Linked DNA regions of Lepisosteus oculatus. The protein of the gene in region 2 interacts with the protein of the main gene of each other region in a pairwise test. Links are inferred from orthologs where the notes say so. Each region holds a gene or a part of one and is shown on either strand. Other genes may lie near its edges. The genes, in order: tsnax, growth arrest and DNA damage-inducible protein GADD45 gamma-like, arpc5lb and lrif1.

Region 1 (7,622 bases), on a different chromosome or scaffold from region 2:
ACAGGTGTCAAGCCAGCTGCTGCCTGCGGCGCCCAGCGCCACGCTGAGGTGTTGGCTATAACGTCTCACCAGGAGTGAAGGCCCTGTGGTACTGGTGCAGGTCCTGCCCTCTCAGCTCCTCGGCGATCTGTTTGATCTTCAGTCTCACGCCGTCCAGCTTCACCTCGGACTCCGCCAACACCTCCGCCACTCCGGGGACGCTGCGGCCAGAGGGAGACCAGGCATTAAAGGGGTTCACGTAACACAGCCGGCACCTGGGAACACCTACAACCTGGGCTGACAGTGGGCTCCTCCGCCCTCAGGGCTGTTGGGGCTCCCTGTTTTCTACACGGCTGGCCGGGCCTGCTGGATTGACGATCGGCCTCAGCCCAGAGCAACAGGCAGCACAACCTGTCCCGCCAGGCAACCAACTGGTCCCCCAGTTTAAACACTGCTTATTCCTCAAGCTGCAGAAAGCACGAACCATGAACATGTTAACTGCTTCTTTTCAAGCAAAGGGGCCTGTTAACGGTATCCGCTCTTTTCTAAAAAAGTACTTTACAGTCCTGGAATGTGGCAACCCCTAAAAAAATACACTAAAAGCCTACACAGAGCACCTATATATGGCGAGCAAACCATCAAAAAGCATCACACACCCGAAGAAGGCTCCACAGCCGAAACATTTTGTTTCTTTTCTTCTCTTTTCAGCGTGGAATAAACCTTTACTTGTTCCTTTGCAGCCTACACATGCTGACTCAAGTAGCTACCTCCTTGAACTACATCAAAAAGGGGTTTCTTATAATGTATCTCCAGGGTATTATTATTCTTTAATCTTACATTAAAAACACCAAATCAGCATTTTACTATCTACAATGAGTCCCATTGACTACACCGAGTACCATTCAATGCAGCTATTGGTTAATATACACAATACACACAGGTCTGTTCATAGCAAGAAGGCACCACATCCAAACCTCACCACCACCTTGGAAAAAACAAGCCCTCCACTCACTCATGATAAGTTATTCCTGGGGCTAACGCACTGAAGACCGCTGTCACTGTTTTATGGTCATGCTTGCACTTAAATCCACCAGCAGATTCCAGTAGCGTCCAGGATGAAACAGATTCTGATAGCCCAAGCCCTGCATTCAGCAAAACGTCACACCTTACCTGGTTACTCTGTGAAGGAGAAAAATAGTCCTCTTGCTTTCGATGGTAATATCGCGACTCAGTTTCACCAGCCTTTCGTATTTGTCATGCTTGGTGTCCAGCTCCAGCTGAAATGCTATAAAAAGAGGGGGAAAGCACTTCCTGTGAATTGGCTTCATTACTCTGCTCTCCTCCCCACTGATAGCAGGTGTGTGGTGGGCATTCTGGCGCACTATGGCTGCCGTCGCATCATCCAGGTGGGGCTGCACACTGGTGGTGGTGGAGGGGAGACCCCATTACCTGTAAAGCGCTTTGAGTGGAGTGTCCAGAAAAGCACCGTATAAGTGTAAGTAATTATTATTATAATTATTACCTTGACACCAATTTCAACTGTTCTGTCAGGGTACTACAAAAGAACTAGCTCTTAAGTATAATGCAGAGACTTACCAGCAATCAGTCTGCTCATTTGTTGCTTCTATTTCTCTATTGCTCTAGCATGAAAAAAAACGTATTTCCTTACATTTAAATGCTGCCATCACAGCTGAAGTTGTGTTAGTACCATCGTCCTGATCTTCCATTTTGTGGGTCGGAGTGTAATCTTGTCTCCGTTTCCGAAAACTTCCATCACCTTTGAAACCAAAACCCATAAACACACACAGGCATGTTACCACTCAAACGGTATGTTATATGGTCTTAAACCTCAAACAGCAAATAGACAATGAAATAACTGCTATTGCCCTGTAAAAAGGTTCCGTTTCAAACTTCTGTACTCATATCAACGTCCTGTCTGTCAGTTTATAAAATAAGATCAAAGCGCAGCTACAGAGGAATGATTGGGTAAGATCTATTCTTCACTGTTAAGGATGTTCATACAATTTAAAGGAATGTGGCTTCTGAGATCACAAACGAACTATTATCATTACTTATTTAGAAGACGACTTTAACGAAGCGTCAAACAACTTGTAAATAAGGACCTATTCGCGGGGCAATAAAAGCATTTGAATTTCAAAGGAAATACGGGGATGTAGCCGCATTTCAAAGGGACTGTTCCCCAATACCATCAGAAAAGGCTCACGTGTAAAACAAATACCGTTAACAATGCGAACAGATGTGTTTTCACAACAGCGGTGTACTCCTGCTCGCCTTAGCGGACTAACCCCGTTCAAGTCTTTGGTTAGCTCTGAATGTTGTTAGCTGTGTGATCTGAGATTACCCAGTTAAACGCGCATTTTCAATGAATTTTACTTTCAGAAATTGAGTCTCTATTTTCCTTCCTCTTTGTGACTGCGATTAATTAGCTGACAGATGCCATTCCTGAGCTTTTTAAATCAACCACAGCTGATTATCTTATCCCCTCCCTCTTAACCAAATTAACAACACCCAATGTATTTTTGAAAGGAGGATTAGCTCGAAAGGACAATTTTGGCAATTAGCCGTTCAGCCCACACTACAACCGACAGCGTGTGAGCAGACATCATCACTGCTGCTTTTAATCCAATTAATGTCAGAACTGTCCACACGCAAGCACCTCGTTTGAAAAAAACAACAAATATAAATTAATGAATATTAAAAAACAAAAATTTCCTACGACAGAAAACTCCGGCTTTCAAGCAATATGTCGTGAATTCCGTTACTACCTACAAAACAAATCACTGAACACTAACCTTCTTTTCTACTCATCGCGAACTAAAATAGTTTTTACCAAAATGTTCTTTGTTATTTAAACTCTGATTGACTTTAATTGCAGAAATTAACAATCGCCAATTCGCTGTGCCCAAGGATGTGTTTACATCAAACCACGCTTTCCTAAACAACCATGTTTCGCTCCTAGAACACTGGATATGCTGTAGCTGCCTTACAACTGCCTGTTAAATTAAAACAGAAAAGAAAGAAAATCATGTAGGTAAATAAAATATTTAGAAGTTTAGTTTTATTCACAATAATCGAATAGAAATTAAAAAGAACGTCGATGTTGTTTTCTGACCGAACTGTGACTAAGACGTACTTATTTTAATAGTGGCATGAGCTTTGCTTTTCAGGCCGGGAGCCGATCTTTTCAATTTAAAAATACGTCATACTGGAAAATTGCATTTTGGGAAATGTATTTTTAAGATATAGCGGCTCTCTAACGTGGTGTGTACAGTGTATACGTACTGTACAAGACCGGTATTTCATTTAAAAAAACACTCAAAAAGTTAATGCAATTCTTACACGTGAGCACATAATAATTAATGACAGGAAAAAAAGTAGATTATTGTTATGGATCCTACAAGTATATGGGATGAAGGTGTGACAAATGCAGGGAATTATGCTTCTGTTATAACTGATTATGCGGTACCTTTGATCATACAATGCCTTTACTATATTCAGACCGAAAAAAAAAAGAAATCTCGTCTGGTTTTAGGGAAACAAGGCTGATTTTGCCTAATCGGGTTAAGCACACGCAGTGAGGAAACTTGCAACCCACAAACAAAACCCAAGTCCAAATACGGGGTGCATTATAATATCAAAAGTGAGATATGAGGGTTCCGAACTATTGTGCCAAGAGAGGGTGGCGCTTAAAACACGTTGCTTTGAACAGCAGTATCCCTGGAGTCCACAAAAAAGCTCAACAGCTGGCCTATCATTTGCATTAATAAAAACAACGGGATTTTTCTGGGACACTCAGAAAAAACATCTTTCAAGGGTCCCAAGATGCTCTTGGCACCGTTAGATCACACAAAACACAGATACTTCCCGCAAACGTAACACCTTCAGGGTGTGTGTTTAAATGCGTTATTTCTTCTTTGTAAGCACTGCCTGATCAATAATTGCTGTAGAAGATGGCAAAATCGGCAAATCCCGGATTTCTGATGGGTCACGAAGAATACATGCAATGGCAGAGTATTTCGAAGAATAGGGAAACGCGCGCTGCGCGTCGCGTGTCGTAAATGCCAGATCTCCACAGAAAAAACTACGTCTTAAAATAAGCGCTCGGCAGTTCTGACAGCAGCGGCTGGGTGGCGCTCCAGGGACGAGCCCCTAATTTCAAGGCTTCAGTTCTGAGGAAACCCAGAACAGATTTAGTTGTTTCCCCCCCCTCGGCATTGTGACGTCGCTGTGTCTGGAATTCTGAGGCACAGAGGCGAACGCGTTCCGAAGCGCGTCGGAGCGGCCGCAGGTGTCACGGTTCCGAAACCGCCTACGGGCTGGGCACCCGATTTGTCTGGGCGACTTGACAACGCCGCGGACTGCACACAGACACGCACGCCTCCCCGGCCGCACTCCACTGCTGGGGTTCTTGTGAATGGCTCTAGGCGGGCCCTGCCCTTCCCTCGTTGACGTCAGGGGTTGGGGTTGGTTAGGGACGACGTGAGGAGCGGAGAAAGAGCGCGGCGCCATGTGTCTCTGGGAGACTGGCGCTCTGAGACCAGGGGCATTTCGGAGTGCAGAGGGAGTGCGCCATGTGCCGTCTGCACTGTCCGGTGTTCGCCCTCCAGTAACCCGCAGAGGGTAACGCAGCGTGGGTGATGAAAGTGCGTCGCGCCGAAGCGGAGGGAGCAGGTTTTCCTTTGGGCTTGTTTGCGGCGGCGGATCCCTTCCAAACTTGTACTGCGCCGCCGGGGCGAGGGGCAGCGCTGGATTTAAAGGGCCAGTAGCCGCCGCTGAACTTCGCAGCCATGGCGAGCGAGGAGGGCACGCTGTCGGACCTGGAGCGGGACCGGCAGTACTGCGAGCTCTGCGGGAAGATGGAGAACCTGCTCAAGTGCGGGCGCTGCCGATCCTCCTTCTACTGCAGCAGGGAACACCAGAAGCAGGACTGGAAGAAGCACAAGCTGGTGTGCAAGGAGGCGGGGAAAGCGCCGAGCCCGTCGCAGCCGGAGAAGAACCGGGCGGTCCGAGACGGGAAAGGAGCACAGCCGCCGCAGAAGGCCCGCCCCGGGCCGGACACGCCGGCTTCCCAGAGCCCGGCGGACACGGGGCCTCCGGAGAGGGAAGGGACGACGGATCATATCAACTGCGCGGACGAGCCGGGTGGCATCGCCAACAACAAGCAAGCCGGGGACGGGATTCACAATAACATTAAGCCCAACGGTCAGACGAAAGCCCAGCCTCAGAAGCTGGCCATGGAGTACATCGTGCCCTGCATGAACAAGCACGGCATCTGTGTGGTGGACAATTTCCTCGGGGAAGAGGTTGGACTGCGCATCCTGGAGGACGTCAGAGCCCTCCACCAGACCGGCAAGTTCACGGACGGCCAGCTGGTCAGCCAGCGGAGCGACTCCTCCAGGGACATCCGGGGCGACAAAATCGCGTGGATCGAGGGGAAGGAGCCCGGCTGTGAGAAGATAGCCTTTCTCATGAGCCGCATGGACGATCTGGTCAGACACTGTAATGGTAAACTGGGAAACTACCAAATAAACGGGAGGACGAAAGTAAGTAGCGCCCCAGGTGCGGACGGTGTAACCCCCCCGGCGCGCAGGTGCACATAACCCTCCACACCCCCTCCCCTCCCCTCTCCTCTCCTCTCCCCTGAGCAGGTGAAAAACTGGCCCGCCAGCTGTCGTCGGGGAACCGCCGGGTAAACACCTCCACGTGTGAGGAACGAGGCGCCAGGATGATTGTTGTCTTTCGAGAGTTTTGTTTCACGCGTGTCTGTAAAATGCGTGAGATGACACGTTTAGCACCGAGTCTTGGTGGGGGGGACAACACTTACTTTGACCTGAAGCAGCAGGTGACGGGGAAAACAGACGAGTTTATTCCAAGATCCATTAACAATACCGGGTGCTTTTCCAGCTCGTAAGTAGTCGAGTTCCTTGGTGTTTGCTCTTGTCCGACACCTCTGCACCATTCGTTTCCGTCAGACGCAGTGGCAAGCAGCTGGAATATAGTCCGTGACCCCTTTTGACGTGTTTTCTGCGATGGACAGTTACAGGGGTTAAAAGGGAAAGTTGTGTTTGTGTTTTTTTCCTGGAGTGGGGAAAAATGTAGCTGTTTCCATTCGACAGCGATGCAGGCATTGTGTGTGTCAGCGTTAAAATGAAATCATGATGGACTACTGACCAGCGATCCTTGGGCGAAATGCTCTTCACTTTGACGAAGGAAAGCGAGGCCTTAGTCCGCTAATAACTTTGTAGACACGGACCCAGGCTGAGTCTATCAGCGCAGTGCCTAATTGTCTAATGAAATACGCAATACCAGCTCAATTAAGAACCCGTTCTGAGCTGTATCCTTTCCAGAATTCTTATTGAGATGACAAACGTTTATTTTTCGGCGATCGTTCGATACCGGTGTAAATCATTATAGCACGTTGTACGTGTTTGGGAATGAAAAGCATCAGGGAGAGTTTTACGCACACGTGATTTAGAAAGTGACTGACGGATGTAATTCCATGTGACCGAAGAAGATTGAGCCTGGAAGTGACAGATGTTCCGAAGTCCAGAAAAGAGCATTTCTGTATTCAAATAACGGAGAAAATAAAAGAGAGGTTAAAGAACATTTTAGGATTAAAAAAAAAACGTGGCTCACTAAATTAGTCGTCTGAATTCTATATAGGCTGATTTCACTGCAGTGATAATGTTAATCCCTTTTTATTTTTTTGAGCACGTTTGTGATGAGAACAAGGAAAAAGCCCTTAAGAGAATCGAGCTATTTTGTTTTTAAAAAGTGCATTAAAATAGTATATGAAGTACAAATGGAGTAGTCGAGCACTTCAAAACACAGACCCCTTGGATTAAGACGAGAAAGCTTTAACCTGTCCACATTTGCTGAAACTTTATGCATTTGTTAGAATGCATATTTGTGTCTTTTTTTACAGCAAAGGCTTTATTGAATTTATACAGAACAGCATAGCAAAAAAGTGCTGTTTTGTATAAGTCAGTTTGACATGTGTTTTCTTTCTTCTCTTTTCAGCATGGAATAAACCTGTTACTGAGAAATGCTCAGGTGATGCAAAATGATCATTAAAATAAGTTGAGCAGTGTTACGTAGTTACCATAGGGACAGACAGTAAAGACGAATGACCGCAGTGACTTTGTAACAGGAGCTGGGAAAAGAAACTGAGGAAAATGTTATCGTTGAAGAAAACGAAGGACAAATGCGAGCACAGATGTTAGAACTGTAATAAGTAAGACTGCATCTTAAGATGGATATGAATGCTATTTGATTCTTTGGTTATATTTTCCAAAGGCAACATATCTTTGGTTGCAAAACGTTGAAGTTTTTCAGTTTTTTTTTTCCTTCTTCCATGGGTTTGAACGCATTCAATTCAGGCTTTGTAAAATGCATAACTAACCTTCGGTACACAAGAGATTCAAAACGCAGAAATGGAAAAAGAGCGATATTTCTCAGAAATAAAAAGGTGTTTTAGGTACTTACAGTTTTTCCAGCAAGAACTGAAATTCCCAGTGAGCGGTAGAAGATTCTTATTCTTGTACAGCTTATGGAATATAAATTGATCTCTGTGGTGCATTTTGCAGCATGCATCTAGTGTCTAACTGGAGCTGCAGTCAACA
Region 2 (6,584 bases):
AACTACCACTTTCCACTATTAGTGGGAGCCACTCAATACAAAACTTGTGCTTGCACATTTTCGTGTTCTCTAAGCAGCAGGTGATGAGTAAATTGTAGTAAATTATAACCTGCTTAGAGGAAGAAAGATTTAAGGAAATGTTTTTTTGCCAAATTTCCCCCCCAACGGTTCCCCTTAGCACAAAAGCCTCCTACTACAAAAGAGAAACTCATTCTGCATGCATCTCATTAGTTATGCAAGCTGTTGAAGTAAGCAGCTGGCGCATTGGCGGTGAGAGGTCAATTCTTCCTGAATAGAGAGCGTTAGCTTCTCTGCTGACTATTGTGCTCAGACCGCTCCTGAGCCAAACTCCATGCGTGTTTCTTTGTGTCAAACGTCCAGCATCAGCTGCGTGCCCCACATTGTTGCGTGATAAAGTGAGTCTACAATGTGTTTGCTAAACTGCTGCTGTTCAAAATCACCTTATGCGTTCTGAAGGCTGCAGAGATCATTTCACAACACACGACGCAATAGTACATTTAATCGTTTTATTGCGATGTTCACAAACATCCTGTAAAATTCACAGCCATACATTGAATAATTTGATCCATTACGAAACTGCGTACAAAAATATCTGCGTAATAGTTTTTTTTTTTTATATTATACCGATTCTGAAATACCTGTTCGGTTAAATCAGTCCGTTCCACATTTTTTAAAACTTGTTCTAGCTTCCAGTTTCTCTAAAAACGTTCAGTCTTTCATGCGAGTCTTTCAGTCCATTGCCGGTACTCTGCACAATGCACTTCCTCTTTGCATCCTTCGTCAAGCCTCCACACCATTCAAAAATTCAAGAGCTCTCCTCCGCTCTCCTCTGTGGTATACCAGGCCCCGCACTGCCAGTGAAGTTGGGGGCACCTTGGTACGAACCGTCCTCCTGCAGATCCCGTTGCACTTGATTCCTTGTCACCTCAAAGGACATTTTCTGTACGCCCGCCCATGCGACTTTCATCTGAGCCCTCAACAGGATAATCCACAGATCTCAGGAATATGTCGGGTCCCCCTCGTATTCCAGGTTATTAATGCACCAAAGGTTAAGCATCTTCAATTTCTGAAAAGTCCCAGTTCATCGCTCAGGGAGCGTAATTGCAGGCACCCACTCGTAAACGTTACGACTCTCCTCGCAAAACAAGCTCAGCTTCTCCAGAGCCGGGTCCTTCCATGAATCCAAGTTTGGGTTCTGTAATAGGAGCAAAACGAAGAGATGGTAATTAGAAAAAGTTTTTTTTTTTAAATCTGCATAGATTTTTAAAGCAAAGACGGACTGACGGACATCACTGAGGAGACTGTACGTACCGTGACGAGAATGCAGTGCGCATCTTGGGGTTCGCCTGACTCATCGCTCCCGACAATCTCAGCCAGTCGCTGGATGTCATTCACCCTCACGATGTTGATGTCGTTGTCGAAGCAGAAGGCCTGGATTAAGGTGAAGTGGATCTGCAGAGCGATGTCGCACTCGTACTCCTCATCGGTTGCCAGAACACAGAAAGCCACGCTGTCTGGGTCACTGCAAACATAAAAATTATAACGCAATTTAGGATTTGTTTGACTCAGCGGAACATAACAATAGAATAACTGGTCTATTACCGGGAGTTAAGACTATATTGATAATACTTACACATTCATTACTTTTGCAGACTCGTACACTCCCACTGTCAGGTTTTCTTGTTTCTTAGCGGAAACCAGGAGCTCTTCCAGGGCTGAGCCAGCACACATCATTCTGGAAATCAATAAAAATAATCACTTGTAAGAACCTTTTACTGAAGTTCGCAGGGAGCACGCAGCAAGTCTGGAAGCCTCTTTAAAAACGACCTCTAGTTTAACAGAATAAGCCACATTCTGCTCATGCAAGCACACCAAAGATGATAAAATGCATCGTCAGTAATATTCCGACTAATGCAATGTAGCAATTCCTGATTTTATACAAGGGACTAAAAACATCAACTTAATTAAATGAATTCATTTCGTTTATATTTACCTGTCACCGGCTTCAACTGTGTTCTCCTGTCCGTGAATTTCCTCAAGAGTCATAGTTATCCTATTATCCACTTTAGTCACCCGTAGAAGCACTCCACAGAAGAAGAGCTTTAGTCTGTGATCAGATGTAGCTGCGCTCCTCTTTTATAAGCAGCCGGCCGTGTTCTTCGGTGGTGGGCTGGCGGTACAACTGCAGTGCTCGCTGATTGGCTGAGAAGATAAAACGTATGTTAATGTCTTATAGTAATTATTGCGGCTCGTGTCTGGGCCCCACGTGGGGGCGGGATTACAATGCCCGAAGTCTGCTCCTTTTGTTATTTTGGTTACTGGGCAGACTGGAGCCTGCCTTTTTTTTTATTAAAAAAAAAAGATTAAAAGACTTCAAATGAAAGTGCGTTGCCACAAATTACTTTAATCACGAAGAGCAAGTTTGTAATCTGCAGGTGGCAGTTATAATCTTGTTTTCTGTAAAACAAGATATCCATGCGGAGTTTGCTTATTTTTTCCGCCAGTCAAAAGAAACAGCATTTTTAAAGTAGCTGTGATCACACGTCTGTCTCTGTCTTGCTTGGGCTATCAACAGAGAGAGAGAGTCTGTGGGGGTGGGGGGGTAATGGCAGATTGAGCACGGCACACGCCACTCCTTTGCATTTGTAAAGGCGACACAATGGCCAGACTTCGGCGTGTGGCGGTTTGGGGGTCTCAGCAGTTCACGCCATTCAGAATTGCTGCTGGGCTCCACCTGCCACTTGTATAGGATTTTCGACAAGGTGGGGGAGGTGGGCTGATCTCTGACCTGTCTTCTGCTATCTCCCCGATCTCGCTGTCACGTACCGCAGCAGATGTGCGTCCAGCTTCTGCAGCAGACACGAGTCTGCAGTCGCGTCTGAAACTTGCGCATTTCGATGAGCTCCGAAAGTTGAATAATTCAACACACCACGGTATGTTATTCTGACCGTGTTCAACTCTTTTTATTTTTACTTTGGCTTGAGAAAGAGCGCAGTTTCAAGACAAAGGCTCAATTTGTATTTTCCCTCTGTAGGCAACAGTGAAATATTTAAAAGTAGCTAAAACAAATTGATAAGAAAAACAACCAATACCATGTTCATGAGTCCTGAAATCCACACCTCAATAAGAAAAATAACTGCACTCAATTAATTATACATGCATAGTAGTCCGTTAATGACATGTTGTGAAATGCACGAATTGTTAATGTATTATGCACAAACTGTTATTCCCAATTTATGAAAACATTGGATATTTAAACCCCTCTCTTTAGTCAATTTATGAAATGCTTTTTTTCAAGCTTATCGTCTATTTGCAAACTTCAGAGCTGTATGAAACTGCAGTCGTGGCGCCACCTGCTGTTTATTTAAGTAGATTCCCGTGCTATGGAAACGACAAGAGACGCGTGCTCTTTCAGAGTCCCCCGAGTGGCTCGTGTACAGAAGGCCGCTCGCTGGGGTGCTCTGCAGCCACGAGACCCGTTAGCTGACTGCTGTCACAGGTTTCCTGGGAGAGTGAACAGCTGGGCAGCCCCTGTGTTATCGGTGTCCATTGCTGTGCTGAGACTCTTGGAGGCTCCACTCTGTCGATACGCTCTTTTAGCACAGTGGGCAGCCCGCGTGATAAAACTGCAAATGATTTGATAGCGCGTCAGACGCATGCACACCAGGGGTCTGTCGGGTGTTAGAATAGGGGCTTACTGGTTTAGGTAGGTAAGTAAGTCGTTCTGTGAATAGAGATCAAAAGCCCCTGTATACTTCATGTATCACAGATTAGCCTTGCAAATGTTATACACAAATAAGGTTTCAAAGGTTCTTTAATGTCTGATTGTATTTTAAAGTTACTTCCAAATTCTTAGTTACCTGCATTTTTCCTTGACATTTGTACATGTACTTTGTACCAATATTGAGTGTTAAAAAGGCAAAAGGGATAATTATATGTACCATTCCCTTTGATTAGTTTAATGAGCCTCCATCTGAGAAGTATCATTTAGAATCAGCATCTCAAATTTTAGCAGTTAATGTTTAAACCACACTTTGCTTTCGATATTCTCATAACCAAACCTTGAATCAATCAAATTTAAGATGATAGCTCACCAACAAGCCTTTTCTTTTATTGCTATAGTCCCAAAGTTGTACACCAAAGAACGAAGATTAGCAATGATTTGTCTGAAGCAACTCCTACATAAACTTGTATTATGGATAATTTTGTATAATTTCACAGTTTGCTTTCATGGTCCAATACCACATTATTAATAACCAAGAGTAACCTCCTTTTCTGTCTATTTCACATGCTGATTCCAAAATGCTAACATATGCATTTAGTTATCAAAGTGTTATAACTCAGAGGATGTTTTGTTGTTGGTGATGCTTGGAAAATATGAACAGTTGCAATTATCTAAAGCTCTTTCTGCAAATTGGGAATTGTGTTGGAAATTACACTTTGCAAAAATTGTCCATTTTGGATCGAATCAGTGTGACAGTAACTGATAATATGTTGAAGAACCAAATAATCTTTGCTTTAAAGCAGGGGTGCATAACTCCACTTCTTGGAGAACCTCACTAGCAATAAGTAGGCTTTCATCCCACGTAAAGTCTTAGCTTCATAATTGATCTACCTGGATCAATTTAACATCTCACAACTGAGACGTGAAAGCAATCATCTCACGCTAACAGAACATTTTGATAGAAAATGAGCTCTTGGAAGAATTAGTTGTGCGTTCCCTGACCGCTTCTGCCATCTAGTGGGAGTTTTTATTACTGAATTTATTTTTGTCCTCGATTACAGTAAAATGCACTGCTCAAATTGAATAGACATGTCTGAATAAGTACACGTTTACTTTCCTTTTTATGGTTCATTCATAAAATTGTACATCAACGTTTCCACATTGTAGCCAGATCTTTAAGATCTCAGAAGCCCACACTATGATGACCAGGGAAACTATGATGTAGAGGTTGAGTTCTTCGGATGAGATGTTACAATGAAGTCCTGAGTACTTTTTCGTTAAAGAAATAATGGCTGTGTCAGAACATAAGAGCTGTTACAAACAAAAGGAATAATTTAGTCACATATAGGCTGCTACAGGTCACCCAAACAGGAGCTGCACTTCAGGGGTGGAAGTGGTCATACGGTACATGCTACACAACAAAAGCAAATAGAGCTTTAAACAGAAAAGTAGTAGAAGGAATGATCCTAACTCCATCCACTTACTGACAACTATATCTTAATACCTCTATCATACCCTCCCTTGTTTTTACCTTGGGAGCAGCTCCCTAGCTCATTCCCCTCTATAGTGAGGGATGTTCTGTCAGCAGTTAGCCTGTTGTTCTCACAGTTAGGTAAATTATGTCAAACACACCTTCATCACAGTTCCATCTTTATGTTGCATTTATTAGGATCTGACCAAACTTCAATTATTGATTTATTAGAATAGTCCAACTGAAATTCAATTATGTATACTTCGAAGAGAAACCATTTTAAAATATGTAAATTGCATTTAAATGTGATTTTGAAATGACCTGATTTTAAGGGCTTTCAAAGGAAATAGTTCTCAGGTAAATTATGCTACTGATAAAGAATATTTTTAAATGGGAACTATTGTTCCTTTTATTTGAAAACATTTATAGTGCAAGATCAGTATTGTGTTGGCTAAAGAAAAATAATAAATGAAAGAAATGGTCTATTCACTGTGGCTGATAATAAATTCTCCAGAAAAAAGTGATGTTATATTTTCATATATCAGAACTAATGTCATTCTGAAAATAACACTCCCGCTGATCTTTTTAAGGAAAATATGTGCCAAGCCGTACAAACTGGGGTTATATTGCTAACATTTTTACAGGATTTGGACACACAAATCACATATTCAAGTGCACATATTGCAGTACACTCCCAAGTGGTATCCATACCTACTCAAGAGGAATCGTTGTCTGTATACCCTTTTTAATTTTAAATGGCCATGCAATAACGAAATTCATACGTTAATTAAATACTCATTGTTTATTACTGGTAAATTAAATACAGAAAAGCAGAATCGATATGTTCATCAATGTAAACAAAAACTGTAAAAAAAATTACAACATCGGTATCCGTGTCAAAAGCTTTAAAAGTCTTTTGTTCTCTTTTTCTTCCTTTCAGCAGTTCTCTGAACTTCTTCCCACACATGTGACGTGTTCTTATTGATTTTCTTCCTGTCTAGATACTGTGAGTACTGCTTTTGCATCACAAGTGTAGATCTTGGAAATTCACAAGCGATTGCTTTCCAAAATATTTTCAGAATCCATCAAGCACCTTATGTCCCTCAAAACATTCCACGCCACTGAAAAGCACTGGTTCGCCCCTCATGAAGCCAGTGAATCTTGGGTCATAGAGACAGGGACTGTCCGTCTTCTCCTCCTTCAGGTCTCTGGGTCTCCTGACCAGAGGTTCCTCTATTCCTCTCCAGGAACATCAAGGATTTCAGGAATTCCATGCATTGCACATGTATTCCTCCAGGATGATTATTCCTCTGAGATTAAGCATTTCCTTCTTGGTCTGTAAAATCTCTTCAGCTCTCACAGAGAGAT
Region 3 (7,086 bases), on a different chromosome or scaffold from region 2:
AGCTCTTGTCAGGCAGAAGGAGCAGTAATGGGTTACAAAGCCTCCTCTGGTCTCACAGCTCAGCCACATCCTCTTCATAACAGGTCGACCGTAGCACCGCACAGGAGAGCACACGAGCAGATAGAAATCAGAGGAACCACTAAGCCCAGTTCATCTGTGCTCCTTATACGAGACATTTACTCCCCCATTCTCATCTGTCCATCTCCTGAAGAACTCCAAGGGATCAGGATTTGACGATATGGCTGGGAACTTATGATTGGACACCCTTGATTTTTGTTCCCAGAAAATGAGGTCGTTTGAAATGCTAAAGATACACGTTTCTTTTCCATCCGAGTCCTTGTGTAGCAGTCAACTCAAAGAACTTCCCGACAGGTGATACCCCTAGAATTTGAACTGCCAAATCCAGCGCACTACTGTTTCCGTCTAAATTAGGGAGGACCAAACCCATTCAGTTCCTTAACCCTGTCCGTAAAGAACCACCAGTAAGGCCAGGAATTGAAGGTCATGTTTGGTGGGTTAGACTCCAGCTCCCACCCCCCGCAACCCCATACTGGACAAAGCGGTTTAGAAGCCAGACCGTTTAGTGACAAAACACCTTCGCTTTAAAATACTGGTAAAGCAGGCTTGAGGGGGAAAAACATTATTTACTCCTTTGTGATTGCAGTCCACCCCAGAACAAGGGCGCCACGTCCAACCTGCACAGCCAACTTACCTCCCCTGCGCCGTACGAAAAAGACGGATCCAAACAGCCGACTGCTGGCGCAATTCGGAGCAGATGGCTTTGTTCCCCCTGCAGCTCCTGGCACCTGGACACAGCCAAGTGGAGGGAAGGATTTGGGATCTGAGAGGGGGGGGGGGAGATCTTCGGTCTGGGGCTATTAAACTAGTATAATCCTGCATCTGCTGGGGAGACGCTACAAGCCTAATTCTTCAGGGGGTGCCGTAATACCGTACCTGAGCTTCAAACAGAGTAAGGATCAAGTACAATCTCCCCCTGATTTCCTTCAAGTGCACTTATGCTTTTGCCCTGAATGTCGCCCGCAGTACATTCGCTAACCAGGGTGCAGCTGACAGGCCCATCAGACTCGCCGTCGGTGCGCCTTTAATTAGCATGACTAACGCGAGGCTGCTCCAAAACAGCCCTCGGTCTGCAGAGCAAAGCTGACAGGGCGCTCGGAACCCGTTCAAATAGTTATTAAAGACCTGGAAATCTAAAAACCAGCACCTAAAGACATCCAAATTATTTGCAAATCTTAAAACGGTCGATCAGGAGAAACGTATTATGTCCTGGGTACTTGCAGGCGATATGCATGCAAAATACTGCCAACGTACAGGCGTTTTTCGCACGACAGACTGCACCAGCTTCCCCGTGTGCTCTCGATCCAGTTATTCTTAACCCTGAAGTCACACTGTGGAGGCGAAAGACCAAAAACCGCCGAGGTACATTCCTGTCTATAAAACGTGAACATGAAAAATAAAAGTTATCCATGGGGGTGTACCATGGTATGTACTGCAAGAAGGTCCCACTTGTAAATTGAGGTCACCCCCCCCCCAAGTACTGGTGAGGTTCTAGATGAGAAAGATGAATTAATCCACTAAACTCGGAAATAGGCGCAAGAAAGTGGTCTACTGGGCGGTCATCCGACGGGGGGGACGATCCCGGGAGGTTATTTAAAGCGCAACCCCCAAAGATAAAGACGGCGGCGGTGAAGTGTCTCACCCCTCCTCTAAAAATACACACAGCGAGTGGGCAGCCCAGACCCACGACACAGGCTATGTGCTTCTCTCTAGCTACACGAACCGGTCTGGGGGTTGTGGTGGCTGATATTTCTGGTCTCCTGCTCGGGGCACCTGTGCGATAAAGTGAATTGGGGCAGAAGCAGCGAGCAAGGGCGCATCGGGCCAGTGAAACAGCACAGCTTGGTCGGGGCGAAAACCTCCGCCGGTTTTGCCCACTTAGCTTCACAACCAGGAGGGGAGGCGATTAATAACTAACCTGACCAGCTGAAGACGTCTACGGCCGTCCCCCCCTCCAAGACCATGCCTGTTTCTTGGGCTAACGCCACCTTAACGTTTCAGCCTGTCAAAAGTGCAGAGACGCATTTGGGCGAAATGATTTCGCACTCGCCAAGTTTCCAGCCAGCCTCATCTTGTCAATGAAAACATCGGGGGGGGGTCATTCGGGGATTCATGTCGCATGCGTTTTGAGGGCAGATCCTTTAACGCATGTATAAACTGTCCCCCCGTTTTCTTTTTAAAAAAAAAAAACAGACTCCCCCCCCCCAACGCTTTCTGGTCGCAGCTCATGTGGAGCTCCGTTTTTTCCGTGAATTCAATTCCGGCCGCAGCAGCTGCCGAGGTCGTGATTGCTTTTGGAAAAGTTGCAATAAAAAGCCCATGCCGGCAACTTTCAGAGGCTTGACCGGTACCTTTCGGGTAACCCCCTTTCAATACAGCCCACCCCGACCCCCGTGACACGCACAGTATCACCCGTGTTAGTCTATGGAGATGATGCATACCCATCTGCACGTCATTTGAAACCCAATGCGCTTCCATTCGCGTCCCAGGGAAAAGAGGGGAATAAAAAAAGGATATTGCCTGATGAGGCTGTCCACCTCGGCCGTGTCCGGCCCCTGCTGCTCGGCCGCCTCCTCCTGCTCGTCCACGAATTTGTTCTCGTCGTACTCATCGATGTCCACCTTCCGGAACCGGGACGACAGGGTGTTTTTCGCCATCGGGGCTGCTGCTGGCCCAGTCCTGCTGCTGGCCGGGTCCGGGGGGCAGGCGGGGAGGAGAGGGAAGGGGGGTGGGGGGTGGTGTCCAAATACTGTACTTTTCGCAACGGGCCGAAAGCGCAGCGACACTCATGTAGCCCAAGTCCTGCCTGCCTGCCTGCCTTCTGCACTCTCTACCTCTGTCTTTCACTCCCTCCCCTCCTTTTCTCTCTCTCTCCCTCCCTCCCTGGGCTCTAGAGAGACAAAAATATGGCAGCTCTCTAGACTGGCGGAAACGGAACTACCTCACAGCGACAAAACCCAGACCTGATGCAGCCAGCCTCCGGCTGCTCCGCTCAGGTGGGTGGTGGCACACCGTCTTGCCGGCTGAGGGTCGGAGCCGGGCGCACAGGGCGCGTCGGTGTCGCGCCGGGGCTTCTGTGTGCAGGTGTTTTATCCCGTCGCTCTACAGTCCGGGACTTCAGTCGTTCACTTCAGCTGCACAGAGGTGCAATGTAATGCAATGAAATACAGCTTCACAACGAATGGTTGTGACTTTGTGAGACCGGGAATGTCAATCGATGAATCTTTTTTTTTTTTTTTAAAAAGAACATTCTTCTGGGGTTGAATTATTTAAAAAAAAATCTATATGGATTTTAAGATTTTCTTCCAAGGTGGCGATCTGCCATTTGGGAAGATGTGAGTTGAATCCAGTAATAGTTGCATATGAGTCGTACAGAGTCGTTTTTGGAATGAGAAATTGACGCAACTTTTGAGTGATTTCCTCCTGAAGCGGTTCCATCCTCTGGGGACATTATTTTGAGTTGTTCGGAGGGCGTAGAGCTGTTTTTTATATATTGTTTTCAAATAAATCAAAGTTGTTGTTGTTATTATGGCTCCGCTGTTAAACAAACTCCATACACCCCTTTCCCCAGTTCAAAGGCTCGTTTCCTGTTTATGAAAAATATCAAATATGTTCCCTCATTTTAAACATACAAAATGGTGCTGTGTATAAGAACGTTTTCCGGCGATATTTATCAATAATGTAAGTGTGCCATGTTGGTTTTACGAAAGAGGAAAACTAAATACAGTTCGAAATAATTGATTTTCTGAAGACCCAAACTTCTATTAGGTATTACCCGAGCTGTGGTCGCTTTTTTCGACTCGGCTCTAATAACGAGTGGCAGTAATAAGCGTGTGAGACCAATATCTTGAATTACCTCAGTCTAGAGCAGGGGTTCCAGATCTTGGGTCTGGGTGCTTAATTGCCTAATTTACCCCTCCATTGAAAACAGAATATCCTCCAGCTAGGTTCAATCCTGGACCTTCGGGGTGCTGTCTGTGTGGAGTTTGCGTGTTCTCCCACTGTTCCTGTGGTTTTTCCTCCAGTTTCCTCCCACAGTCCAAAGAGACACTGGTCGATTTATTGGCCTCAGGGGAAAATGGCCCCGGTGTGAGTTTGTGCATGTCTGTGTGTCTGTCTTGCCATGGACTGGCATCCTGTCCAGGGTGTATCCTGCCTTGTGCCTGTTGCTCGCCAGTTTAGCTTTTGGCTTCCCTGCAACCCGGAATTGGAGGAAAATTGACCAATATAGTGAACAATTGATTCCTATTAAGCCATTTATGGGTCACTGGAGTGAAAACCAGAATACATGGTGGCCCTAAAGGATGTTGAATGAACATCAGTGCCACTGGCTAAAGGAAACCGATGCTTTATTTTTTTATAAGAGGTTCAGTTCGCCTGCCACTCCTCATCAGACAGTGACTCTTTAAAGAAACACGCAGTTGCATCCCTTGGTCGTTTCCTTGATCTTGACGCATATGTAAAAGATGAATGAATAATGAAAGTGTGCGCCTTCCACAAAATGGAGGCTTTCCTTAAGAATTTGTGTCGTTTTTTTTTAAGTTATTACTTGTGTCACTTCACAGTAGTAAACGTGATTGTTTAGTTTTAAATGTGATTAAATATTATTGAATAATATTGTCAGTGTTATTTATTATTGTGATGTGTGGGCTGTGGTTGTGTTTGGAATGTGAATGAATGAAATGTAGCATAATATAGGTATATTATTAAAGACACGTCCTCTCACGATAGCTCATCTATTAATAAAATTAAGAACCTAATTTATGACTTCGCTTAGGAGACCTCTTTTAATGGCGAGCGTACGGAATATAAATTAATACCTTCTGAATTAATTTTCCCACATGAAGCCCGGTTGTAGGTTACCTCGCAGGTTATAGGGCATTTCATTTTAACAGCTAAGATACGAGTCAGCTTTTACTTTTCGTGCTTTGTTATGGTTATTGTATTGTGTTGATTTAAATGGACGTGAATGATGTATTTTGTAATGTGATATAAATGACAACACATATGCTATAGCTCTATAACTATAGAGAGGAATGGTATTTTCTTCTGAAACGTCTCAACAGAAGACCACTAATCTACATTTTATTTTAAGAGTGTTCACAGTATCCTAATTTCAAAAGGAAAATATGTTACGTATCAGGGATATTACAATCAGAAAACATTTTATAGTTCTCTCCAATGTGTTCAAATTTTTAACTTATTTTTTGTAACCTACATGGTAACCTCTACAAGTATCTATAAATTAGGGAGACATTTAACCTTATTAAACGTCAGCTTTTGCATCTAACAACAACGTGATTTATATATATACAGATTAGCGGTCGGTAGCGTCTGCAACAATACAATCAACATTATGTGCGTCTTTACTAAAGTAAACGATTATGTTACATTGGTTAATAAGGGAAAGGTTTTAAAATTCGAGTGACAGATGGAACATTCCTATAGCCTCCCCCCCCCCCCCCCCCTTTTGTGAAATACGTTGGTAGCGCCCGTAACCCGGTAGAGCTTCGCCGTGACCCTCTGGCCTTCCTTTCCTGTGACAGCCAGCACTGACGATGGTGAGATACCGTTCTTCCAAATCCAATCTCGTTTAATCCTTCGCTTTATAAACGTTATAATGTACAACGAACACATGCCAGCGTGTGTAAACTCCTTAGTTAAAAGTCAGATGGGTTATTAAACCAGTTGAAACACGACTTTCCCTCTATATAATACGTTTAATAGATTGATTCTCACTGGGCACTTTATAAACTAGTTATGGCTGTCGGGTTCTTTTACGTGGCTAGAATAACGCATGGCTTAATAAATCGTAGCGTTTTCCCCTCCAGCGCTTCTTTTATAGAATAGCATTGATATACTGTTAACCGTTTTGTTTTAAGCATCATCTGATCTCGCTGTATGGACAGCTCTTGTGCATGTGGTGCGGGGTTTGTTTGATAACTTTTTGCGATGATCGTATTGGAATATGGGGGTTCCTAAAATTCTTGGTCGGAAGGCTTTATTCGTTTGTTTTTTTTTTTCTGATATTTAGTCTTCGTTGGCCAACCTATATAAAACTGGCTGCGTTTTGTGCGGCTCTGAATCGAAGCTGAGGACCTGCTTTCAGAAACCTATTAAAAAACAAAAGTGCAGGGCAGGCCAGTGTAAAGAAAGAAGATTCCCTCTAAAACATTCTCATACATTTTTATGGGGGGAACTTGTTCTGCTGCAAGAAAGCACTTAGTTGTATTTACAATGATAATGCCGCTTGTTTGTAGTTGTATTGATTGGAGTTTTAGTAGGTAGGCTTGTGTGCTCACCTTTGGAAAGTTCAATTCACGCTAGTGGAACAGACGTTTTTTTTTTGTCATCATGCACGTAAAAGCAGATACAGATCCACATTTCTTCACTGGGGACAATAAAATATTGGAGTGTCTACTTGTGTCAGTTCTGTGGGTCCAACAGGAACGCCTTGCATCTGGATAGGCATCTGCTTTTGGAGAGAGCAATCCAGTCCATAGAAATAGTTCCAGTCCCAGCTGTGTCGGCTTGCACAGGCTGCAAAGGAACAGGTCCGGGTTTATTCCACGCCGAAAGGAAAAGAGAACATTTTGGCTGTGGAGCTGAAATGTTGTCTCTTTTCCTTTCAGTGTGGAATAAACCTGTACCTGTTGCCCCACAGTTTATTGGAAAAACCCTGCAAACACTCTTACTTCTAAGGAGCCTGGGCGGTGTACCACTGGGTGGCCCAGCCAACTTTTTGTATTGTAATGCAAAAAGTATCAATTAGTGTATTGAAATGCTGTGAACAGTGGTCGTGTTCTTTTCTAACCGGTGCCTGATGGCTCTAACACCTGAGCTGGGGTCACAAGAGATGAGCAGGGTGTCATGGTTCCGCAGCCCGGGTGTTGGCCTAGAAGGTTTTGTAGTTTTAGCTTCTGAGGCTGATCGCGCAGGAGATGATGGGGACGCGCGGGGCTGTGTGTTAACGCCGTCTGTCCCGGTGCCCAGGCGAAGATCAAGGCC
Region 4 (7,419 bases), on a different chromosome or scaffold from region 2:
CTTTTTATATTTATAACCTTATTTGATAATTTCAATGATTGTTTACTTCATAGGAGCTCACTATCCTTAACTGACACAGTATGTTTAAATATTTTTTTTCTTATCTTCAACCTTAATGGCTCAATTTCATCAGGTGGAAGTAATTTAACTAAATGTTTTCCAGGTATTAACTGGAATTAATTGAAAGGTACTGTACGTCTTAAACCTGCAGAACATGCCTATCCCTGTTCTACAGAATGATTACATTTCTCTGATTTGTTTTTCTTTTGGGAGACTGATCTGGCCTTGAATGAGAGCAAACTGATGGAAAAACTACAGCTGCTGTGCCTTATGGAGGTAATAGAAGACTGTTTTTTGAAAGTTTTTGCATGGTGAAAGGATTTAAAAGAAGGTAATTAACAATATACTGTATAACTGTTTCATAATCTGTATGGTATTCCATAAATATTTTGGAGAAACGGATTAACGGCTGTCTTAAATTTCAAGGTAGACAGCACTAAGTAAGATATAGAAGTGCTGTAGTGACGTATAGGATTATAGTACGTCAATAGACAGTTAAAACACCTCTGTGCTCCCCAGATGGTATTTACCAGACCAGCTCATCACCGACAGATTACCTTCCAGGAAATTGCAAAGGAAACCAAGCTGCCCATCACTGAGGTGAGGCTGAAGAGACAGAGAGAGTCTTGAAAAAGGCCATGCTGTTATTTGCTGTTGTTGGTAACCTGTGAAAATCCAACCACAGTCTACAAAAATTATTCAGTGGTATCATGTTTCAAAGAAATATATTCTGCATCTATAAATGTATCTCCTTCCGTGCCTAACTAAAAACCCAAGGAGAGTAGACCTTGGTGTAAGACATCACAAACATAGATATTACAGACAATATAATTAAGCCTATATACATGTCTCTTCAGGATAAGTGGTTTCTTGAGTGTCACTTCCTTTTGTTGATTTGGTTATGATGTCCCCTTGAACCATATGCCTCTGCAGGTTGAGCTCCTTGTAATGAAAGCCCTGTCTAATGGTCTAGTCAAGGGGAGTATTGATGAAGTTGACAGGAAAGTGCACCTCACTTGGGTTCAGCCTAGAGTAATGGATTTAAAACAGGTAAGTTGCCTAAAGAGACCTTACAAAGAAGAAAAAATACTCAATCATTAGAAGAATCATAATTTTCTGATTCCGAAGTTTTTACATTTTCATGTTTTAATTTTTCAATTACTAAACATTGTGGATAAGAAAGAAACACCTTGTGGCACCATAAAGAAAATAAAAATCTGGCAAAAAAGTTGTTTTTTCCTGTAGTGGAAAATGTCTCTTTTTGGTTTCCTACTTTAAGTTTCTTTTGGGTAAGGGTTAGGGTCACTTGAAGCCATTTGATTTATTCATTTTGATACTAAGACAGTAGTTCCTATAGTTCCCATAGTTAGGTATATGCATTGAATCATTTACCTTGTTAAAACAGTTATGCATGGAGATATCCTGGCATGCTTTCATCAGTTTTTGTGAAGGAGTTTGTCTATTATTGCTCCCTGTTGTCTCATAAGCACATCAAAAAATTTGGAGTGCACTGGGTAATGTAGTATAAATTACACTCTCAAGAACAAGCTCATTGATGACATCACCACACGGCACTTCAGATCTGAAATTAATTTCACAAATGTGTTTTGATCAAAGAGTGTTTTAAGGTGTTTCTGTCCTTAGATTTCTGAAATGAAGGACCGTCTAGAGAATTGGTGCGGGAGCATCAGGAAGACTTCTGTGCTGGTGGAGAACCATGCTCATGAAGTCCTTGGATAAGGGGTGATTGATCACAGATGTTTATGTTAGCAGTGTTCGGTGTTACCAGGAAATAATTAAGGGCTTTTCAGACACCAGTTTATACCGCTGAAGCAGATTAATGTATGTCCTGCTTTTTATTATTAAAGAATTAGATCCAAGCTCTGTCTTTCTGATTATTTGTTTGACGGTGTGCTCATTGTTCCCAGTGCTCCTTTTAAAGGTGTTTGAATTTAGAGTATGTTAAATAAAAACGGCAAGAAAACAACTGAATCTGTTGTGTTGGTTCTTCATTTCTACAGTGAATTTTTCATGGCTTCAAAGTTTAAATACTAATTTATACATTATTTGAATCCATTCGTTGCCCTGGGTTGTGCACTACATTCACATTTCCCACTTCAGCTTGGCAAGATAATTGTCGAATCTGCAAGGTTTAACTTGAAGGTATATGTTTTCAGATGTCAGTGTAAATCCCTAGTCTGACCATAAACACTACAGATTTCAATTGCAAATATTTTTGCATAACCTTGCTACTGTAACTCAGATGAGGAGCATTATTCATAATTTATAGGGTGAATAATTTAGAAAGTTTTTTTTTTTCTATCTTATTTACTTTTACAGTTCCAAACTGTCTTGTGTGGTGTACCCGTGACTTCCACCTGGACATAATGGCCATTGACATTTTATAGGGTTTTTGCTATACAGTAGTTATCACAATTCCACTTAATCTTTAAAGCTACATTAAGCTCTGAAAGGTGGGTTGTGTTTGTATGTAATTTATTAGAGATATGATTGTCACAGTCATGCCCGCATAACATGAAAAAACAGTGAACTAATCTCTCTTTTTGTTATTGTGCCTTATCAGCAAAATTTTATTGTGACAGTGCCATGATATTGATACACTTTCACTATGACAAAAAATGATGCCAGACTGCCGCCTTCTTAGATCGCCATCTTCTGTGTCAGTGTAAAAAAAAAATGGCTTTTTGGAAAACTTATAAGTATAATTACACATCCTGACTCAGGTACCTACTCAAACTTCTAAGTATAGTTGGGATGAATGACAAGGAACAATATCAGTGTTTCACATTGTCTGCCTCGCTTAATCCTATGATTTTGTACTACATTGAAATACTTCTTTTGTTACTTTTTCATTTGGTTAGAGAAGCTAGGTGTTAGAAAAATAGAGACCCGTGGAAGGGACGTATGAATAGAATCATTCAGAAATAATAAACAAAATTCTTAAAGGCATGAGAATTTTTTTAAATTTCAGCATTTAAATATTTGTGAAACTGACTTTGGTTCTGGCAGCCTATGAAGGTTAATGGCTAAACCAGCCTGTGCTGTAGAATTACAGGCAGCATCTTTGCTTTTGTTGTTTGTTCTTATAAATAAAATAAGTATATACTGTACAATAAACTCTTAATTTCAAGGACTAATAGGGGGAAAAGGTGTCTGTTTAATCATGAATTAAGTTTTTCCGCTACACAAAACGAGACGAGAAAAATATCTACATACAGTATATGCTCTCTGGATCTTTTTACTTTTTTTAACAATTGCAATCAACACAGTCAATGAAAATTGATTCTGTGCCTTTTTTACCATAAATTAACCAGCTCTTTATTTCATGTGTTGGATATAAACTGTATAAAATTCACTAAAACATACAAAACAAAATACCCATTGTAAGCAACTGACCCACCATCAATATTTCTGAATTTTAAACTTGTGTATTATTTTATCTTGTTTTATTGTATGTGCATTTTAGTGTATTAAAAAAATGGTTTATAAAAAATGTACTACAGCATGCAAAACACAAATAACATCATGAGCAATTCACCTATCCCTATACCACCTGCTCTACCCATAGGGGGCACCATTGATATACATGCCTATTCAAAGGTGTGCTGTTCAAAAGGTGTTGTTTATTATTTTAGATATTTTTTATTTTTCTAAGGTGTATTACATAATAGTATTTTTTTCAAAATGCATAAAGCATTGTATCATGTTATGTTCAGTCTTTTATTCTGTTATTCAAACAATGTCAAACCACGATGCAATCACTGTTCAGTAAATGTACTTTTAACTGTTTCAGATTAATGTATTTTACCACTCACTTATACTTATTTTTCTTCTTTTTTGTCCCATTTATATGAATAAATCAAGATTTTTGTTCAGACTATCTACCAGTCTGATTGTACAAACACAATTTATTTTAGCATATTTTGTCCTTTAAAGCAAAGTTAATTAAACTGAGTGTTAACAGTAATGTACAGTGTCATGATATTAATATTATTCAGTTTCCAGGAAATGAATTGTAAACTATCGACTGTCGTATATAAAACAACTGTAGTAAAGTGTTTACTAGATGAGTAAATAATCACCTTCTTTGAAACGACTACTTTGTTATCGAACATATAAAATGAAAGTCGACGTTTTCTCATTTGGTTTCCTGTCCTAACTATAAATATGGAAGTTTTGCTGGTGGTCTATAGATGTCGCTGTTTCTGCCATGAAGAAATCTACTTGGGGATCTATTTTACCACAGGAAGTTAATGTTTTTGATCCCGGAAGAAATAATATAATTTCGATATAACATCCAGGTTAACCGGAAGTATAAATCAGTTGAAGAAGTCTGGTATTTTTTTAGAGACTGGTTTGTATACGGCTATCCAATTAGAGAAGAGCATATAGTATTTACAGTCTGACGAGTGTAATATTGGGAGGTAAGTTAAGCTTCAGATAAGATGAAGTACATATTGTAAAATTTTACAAACTTAATTAGATCATCTGGAACCCCAATATTCTATGTTTTAACCCAATACCTCAATTTAGCTGAAGAGATATCATTAAATATGGCGTCTCAGTGGTTATGCTGATTTACAGCACTGGGCAAATAGTCCGTTTTTAATCTGTATTATATTTGTAGATTATGTATGTATGAAGGATTTAGTTTTTATTGTAATTGGTTAAAATATGTTTTTCTTTTCAGGGATTCAATAGAAGTGGCTCGAGTGAAACGGGGCGGGCGTTGCTCTCAGGTCCGCCATTTTGCTCCGAGAAATTTCTTCCTGCGCTTCACTGGTGGAGGTTTGCGGTACTGCAGTAGGAGTGGTGAAAGGTGGTCTGTAGAGGAAAGGACATGAGGGGAAGGGTTGCTTAATAGTGAATTCAGTATGTCCCAAAAGAAAGCCATTTATTGTACCAAAAGTTAACGCAGTTAATGCTAAAGGCATCCCTGGTGTTATTTTGTGATACAATTCTAAGACGGTAAACACTGATCTTAACTACTCGGTTCACCCTTCTGGCTGTGAGAAACGGAAAACAGCGCTTCTACTGACAAAAGGTTCGCTCTCCCTTAACTTCAACGTAAATCCTACATGATCATGAATAATAACTTTGTGAGATTTTCAGTACCGCTTAAACCTAGCGATAATCTACCGGCATCTTCAAACCAAAGGTAAGACGTGTGTATTTGATTAATATTTTAAATGTATTCGAATCATAATGTTCCTTAGCATTGTATCAGATGAGCAAACGAATATTATTTAGAATATGATCCAGAATAATTGGAACTGCGGGAAATAATGTCCAGATCGTGTGTGGAAATTGAAGAATAAAAATCTATGTGATCAGTGTGTATGTGACTGTCATCGCAATTATGGTGTGAAACGTACTTCTACAAATCTCTAGAGCAACCGCAAAGGTTTTATCGGTAGAGAATTTTCATGTAATTGAAACAAAATACTAAACATAACACTTAATTTCAATCACACATTTAAGACTTACTAAATACCGTTTGTGTATTGGCAATTTATCTCCATATTTTGCTGTGTAAAATGTTTTTTAAAGTCACTACAGTAACATGTTTCTTTCGTATTCGATGTTCAAGGACCTACTATTCGCAAAATGATCGTGTTTAGCTGTACGGCCATGGACACTGATGATAAAGATGGATTGATCGCAATTTTTTTCTGCTCATTTAAATTCCGTTTTTATATGAGGCAGAAACGTGTTAGTATGACATAAATAAACGCTATGATTTATTTTAAAATGCACTTGAATAAGCCTAAGAGTTACAGTTATTTACTTTGTTTTTCTTATTTAAAGTAAAGCAGAACTTTAAGATAAAACTCGAGGGTTTAATTTATGAGTGGATTGTATATCAAGTTACATATAAAAACAGTGTAACTGAGTTTCTCCTGGCTTTATGTAGCTCTTGTATTTACATTTACTGTTGAGCCTTTTTTTTCATAGGGTTTCCTAAAACGCTTTACATACATATCCTGAAAATGAAAACTCAGAGGGCATTACCTTTTTTCAGAGCAGTGAAAAAGACTCTTGCACCATGTGTGTGAACCGCAGCAGGGATGCAGAGCTTGGGTTTTAAAACTCTGTGAATCATGCCATCTTTGACCTAAGCAGAATGTTTTTGGCCATACTTTCTGTTGACTTATTCTTTGATACTGCAGTATAGTTTTAACAGTTTTGTATATAACAAGAGCAGTGAAGACAAATCAGAACTGTTTGGCAAAAATGACTATCAGACACTATATTTTTCTAAACTATTATGTTGCCAGGTTGTGTATTTTTACACTAATTACAACTGAAATTAAAAGATTATGCAAATCTCTACACATGTAGAGGTAATTTTCTAAAAGAAATACAAAATGTCCATTTTTTCTATTTTATTTAAATTATTATAGTCGGGGTGTGCCCTACTGTCTGTACAATTGAAATCTTAAAAGTCTTTAAATTAAAATATCAGTAAGGGCAGACTAACTTAGTAGACTGATTTTTAAGCAGGCCATCATTTAAATCAAGTTTTGGCTTTTAATACGGTGTAGTTCTAAATAGTTTATTTATGAAGACTTATGCCATGTAATTTTCTACATTTTTAATTAATTGTTATTGTTTTATTTTTATTTAATTTTTTATTGTAGTTCATCATTTTGGTGGCAGTTGCATTTGATTGTGCTACATACAAAGTGTGCTCACTATAATACAATCTAATGTTTGGTTTTATGTCATTGTATTGCACAAACGACTATAATAAAATGGGGGGGGGTCATATTTCCATAATTTGTAAATAGTTCTCTATTATAAATATACATTTATTTCAATGTATTGTATGATTCTCTTTTGCAAGAGAAGTTTAGCTTCTGTACATGGACTTTCTTGTGGTTTCATCTATTGATATATTTCTCTTTTTTTTATTTCAGTGTGTCACATGGATATTATCAAGTAATGCCTACCATATGCTCCAATGGGCAAAATATTTTAAAACTGATTCCAGTTCAGAAAGTTGGTGGGCAGTTTCTTCAGATGCAAGCAAAAATTAATTTGTCAAGCACTTATAAAAACAGTGATGCTGAAGCACTTGTGACTACCAACCAACCCGCCATCCGTTTCACCCCTACTACAGTTTCCCCTGGACCAATTGCTATTTTACAACAGACTAGCCCTGGCAAATTCATTCTGAAAAGACAGTCAGATGGGAATGTTTTAGTAAATCCAATTCACGGAATGGGACAACTCCAGGAGAAAGTTACTTTTGCCACAACATGTTCTCCAGTTCATATTCAGGTTCCAGTAACACCACACAAGCCACAGCAAACCTCTGCTCCAGTGGAAGTGCTT

What was found.
Region 1: the proteins of growth arrest and DNA damage-inducible protein GADD45 gamma-like (region 2) and tsnax interact in binary tests that used the Homo sapiens proteins (3 or more experiments, as listed by UniProt). The two-hybrid records come from large-scale screens. The link is inferred for Lepisosteus oculatus from reciprocal best matches to the Homo sapiens genes GADD45G and TSNAX.
Region 3: the proteins of growth arrest and DNA damage-inducible protein GADD45 gamma-like (region 2) and arpc5lb interact in binary tests that used the Homo sapiens proteins (3 or more experiments, as listed by UniProt). The link is inferred for Lepisosteus oculatus from reciprocal best matches to the Homo sapiens genes GADD45G and ARPC5L.
Region 4: the proteins of growth arrest and DNA damage-inducible protein GADD45 gamma-like (region 2) and lrif1 interact in binary tests that used the Homo sapiens proteins (3 or more experiments, as listed by UniProt). The link is inferred for Lepisosteus oculatus from reciprocal best matches to the Homo sapiens genes GADD45G and LRIF1.

Annotation. Positions count from the first base shown.
Region 1 is NC_090712.1:5,069,217-5,076,838, reverse strand, and holds the start of tsnax (translin-associated protein X), read right to left. Parts: upstream 3,002-7,622; 5' UTR 2,809-3,001; coding exon 2,793-2,808; intron 2,658-2,792; exon of another isoform or gene 2,219-2,657; intron 1,757-2,218; coding exon 1,649-1,756; intron 1,265-1,648; coding exon 1,150-1,264; intron 201-1,149; coding exon 70-200; intron 1-69. Other genes in the region: egln1a (egl nine homolog 1), read left to right, coding at 4,788-5,543.
Region 2 is NC_090698.1:49,457,615-49,464,198, reverse strand, and holds growth arrest and DNA damage-inducible protein GADD45 gamma-like, read right to left. Parts: upstream 2,138-6,584; 5' UTR 2,068-2,137; coding exon 2,015-2,067; intron 1,757-2,014; coding exon 1,655-1,756; intron 1,544-1,654; coding exon 1,333-1,543; intron 1,217-1,332; coding exon 1,103-1,216; 3' UTR 514-1,102; downstream 1-513. Other genes in the region: growth arrest and DNA damage-inducible protein GADD45 gamma-like, read right to left, coding at 6,566-6,584. UniProt on the Homo sapiens protein: Involved in the regulation of growth and apoptosis. Mediates activation of stress-responsive MTK1/MEKK4 MAPKKK.
Region 3 is NC_090719.1:13,112,070-13,119,155, forward strand, and holds the start of arpc5lb (actin related protein 2/3 complex, subunit 5-like, b), read right to left. Parts: upstream 3,009-7,086; 5' UTR 2,736-3,008; coding exon 2,595-2,735; intron 684-2,594; exon of another isoform or gene 665-683; intron 1-664. Other genes in the region: rpl35 (large ribosomal subunit protein uL29), read left to right, coding at 5,637-5,639, 7,072-7,086. UniProt on the Homo sapiens protein: May function as component of the Arp2/3 complex which is involved in regulation of actin polymerization and together with an activating nucleation-promoting factor (NPF) mediates the formation of branched actin networks.
Region 4 is NC_090700.1:36,709,858-36,717,276, forward strand, and holds the start of lrif1 (ligand-dependent nuclear receptor-interacting factor 1), read left to right. Parts: upstream 1-4,409; 5' UTR 4,410-4,505; intron 4,506-4,771; 5' UTR 4,772-5,159; coding exon 5,160-5,239; intron 5,240-7,001; coding exon 7,002-7,419. Other genes in the region: 26S proteasome non-ATPase regulatory subunit 13-like, read left to right, coding at 270-336, 580-660, 994-1,110, 1,705-1,800. UniProt on the Homo sapiens protein: Together with SMCHD1, involved in chromosome X inactivation in females by promoting the compaction of heterochromatin.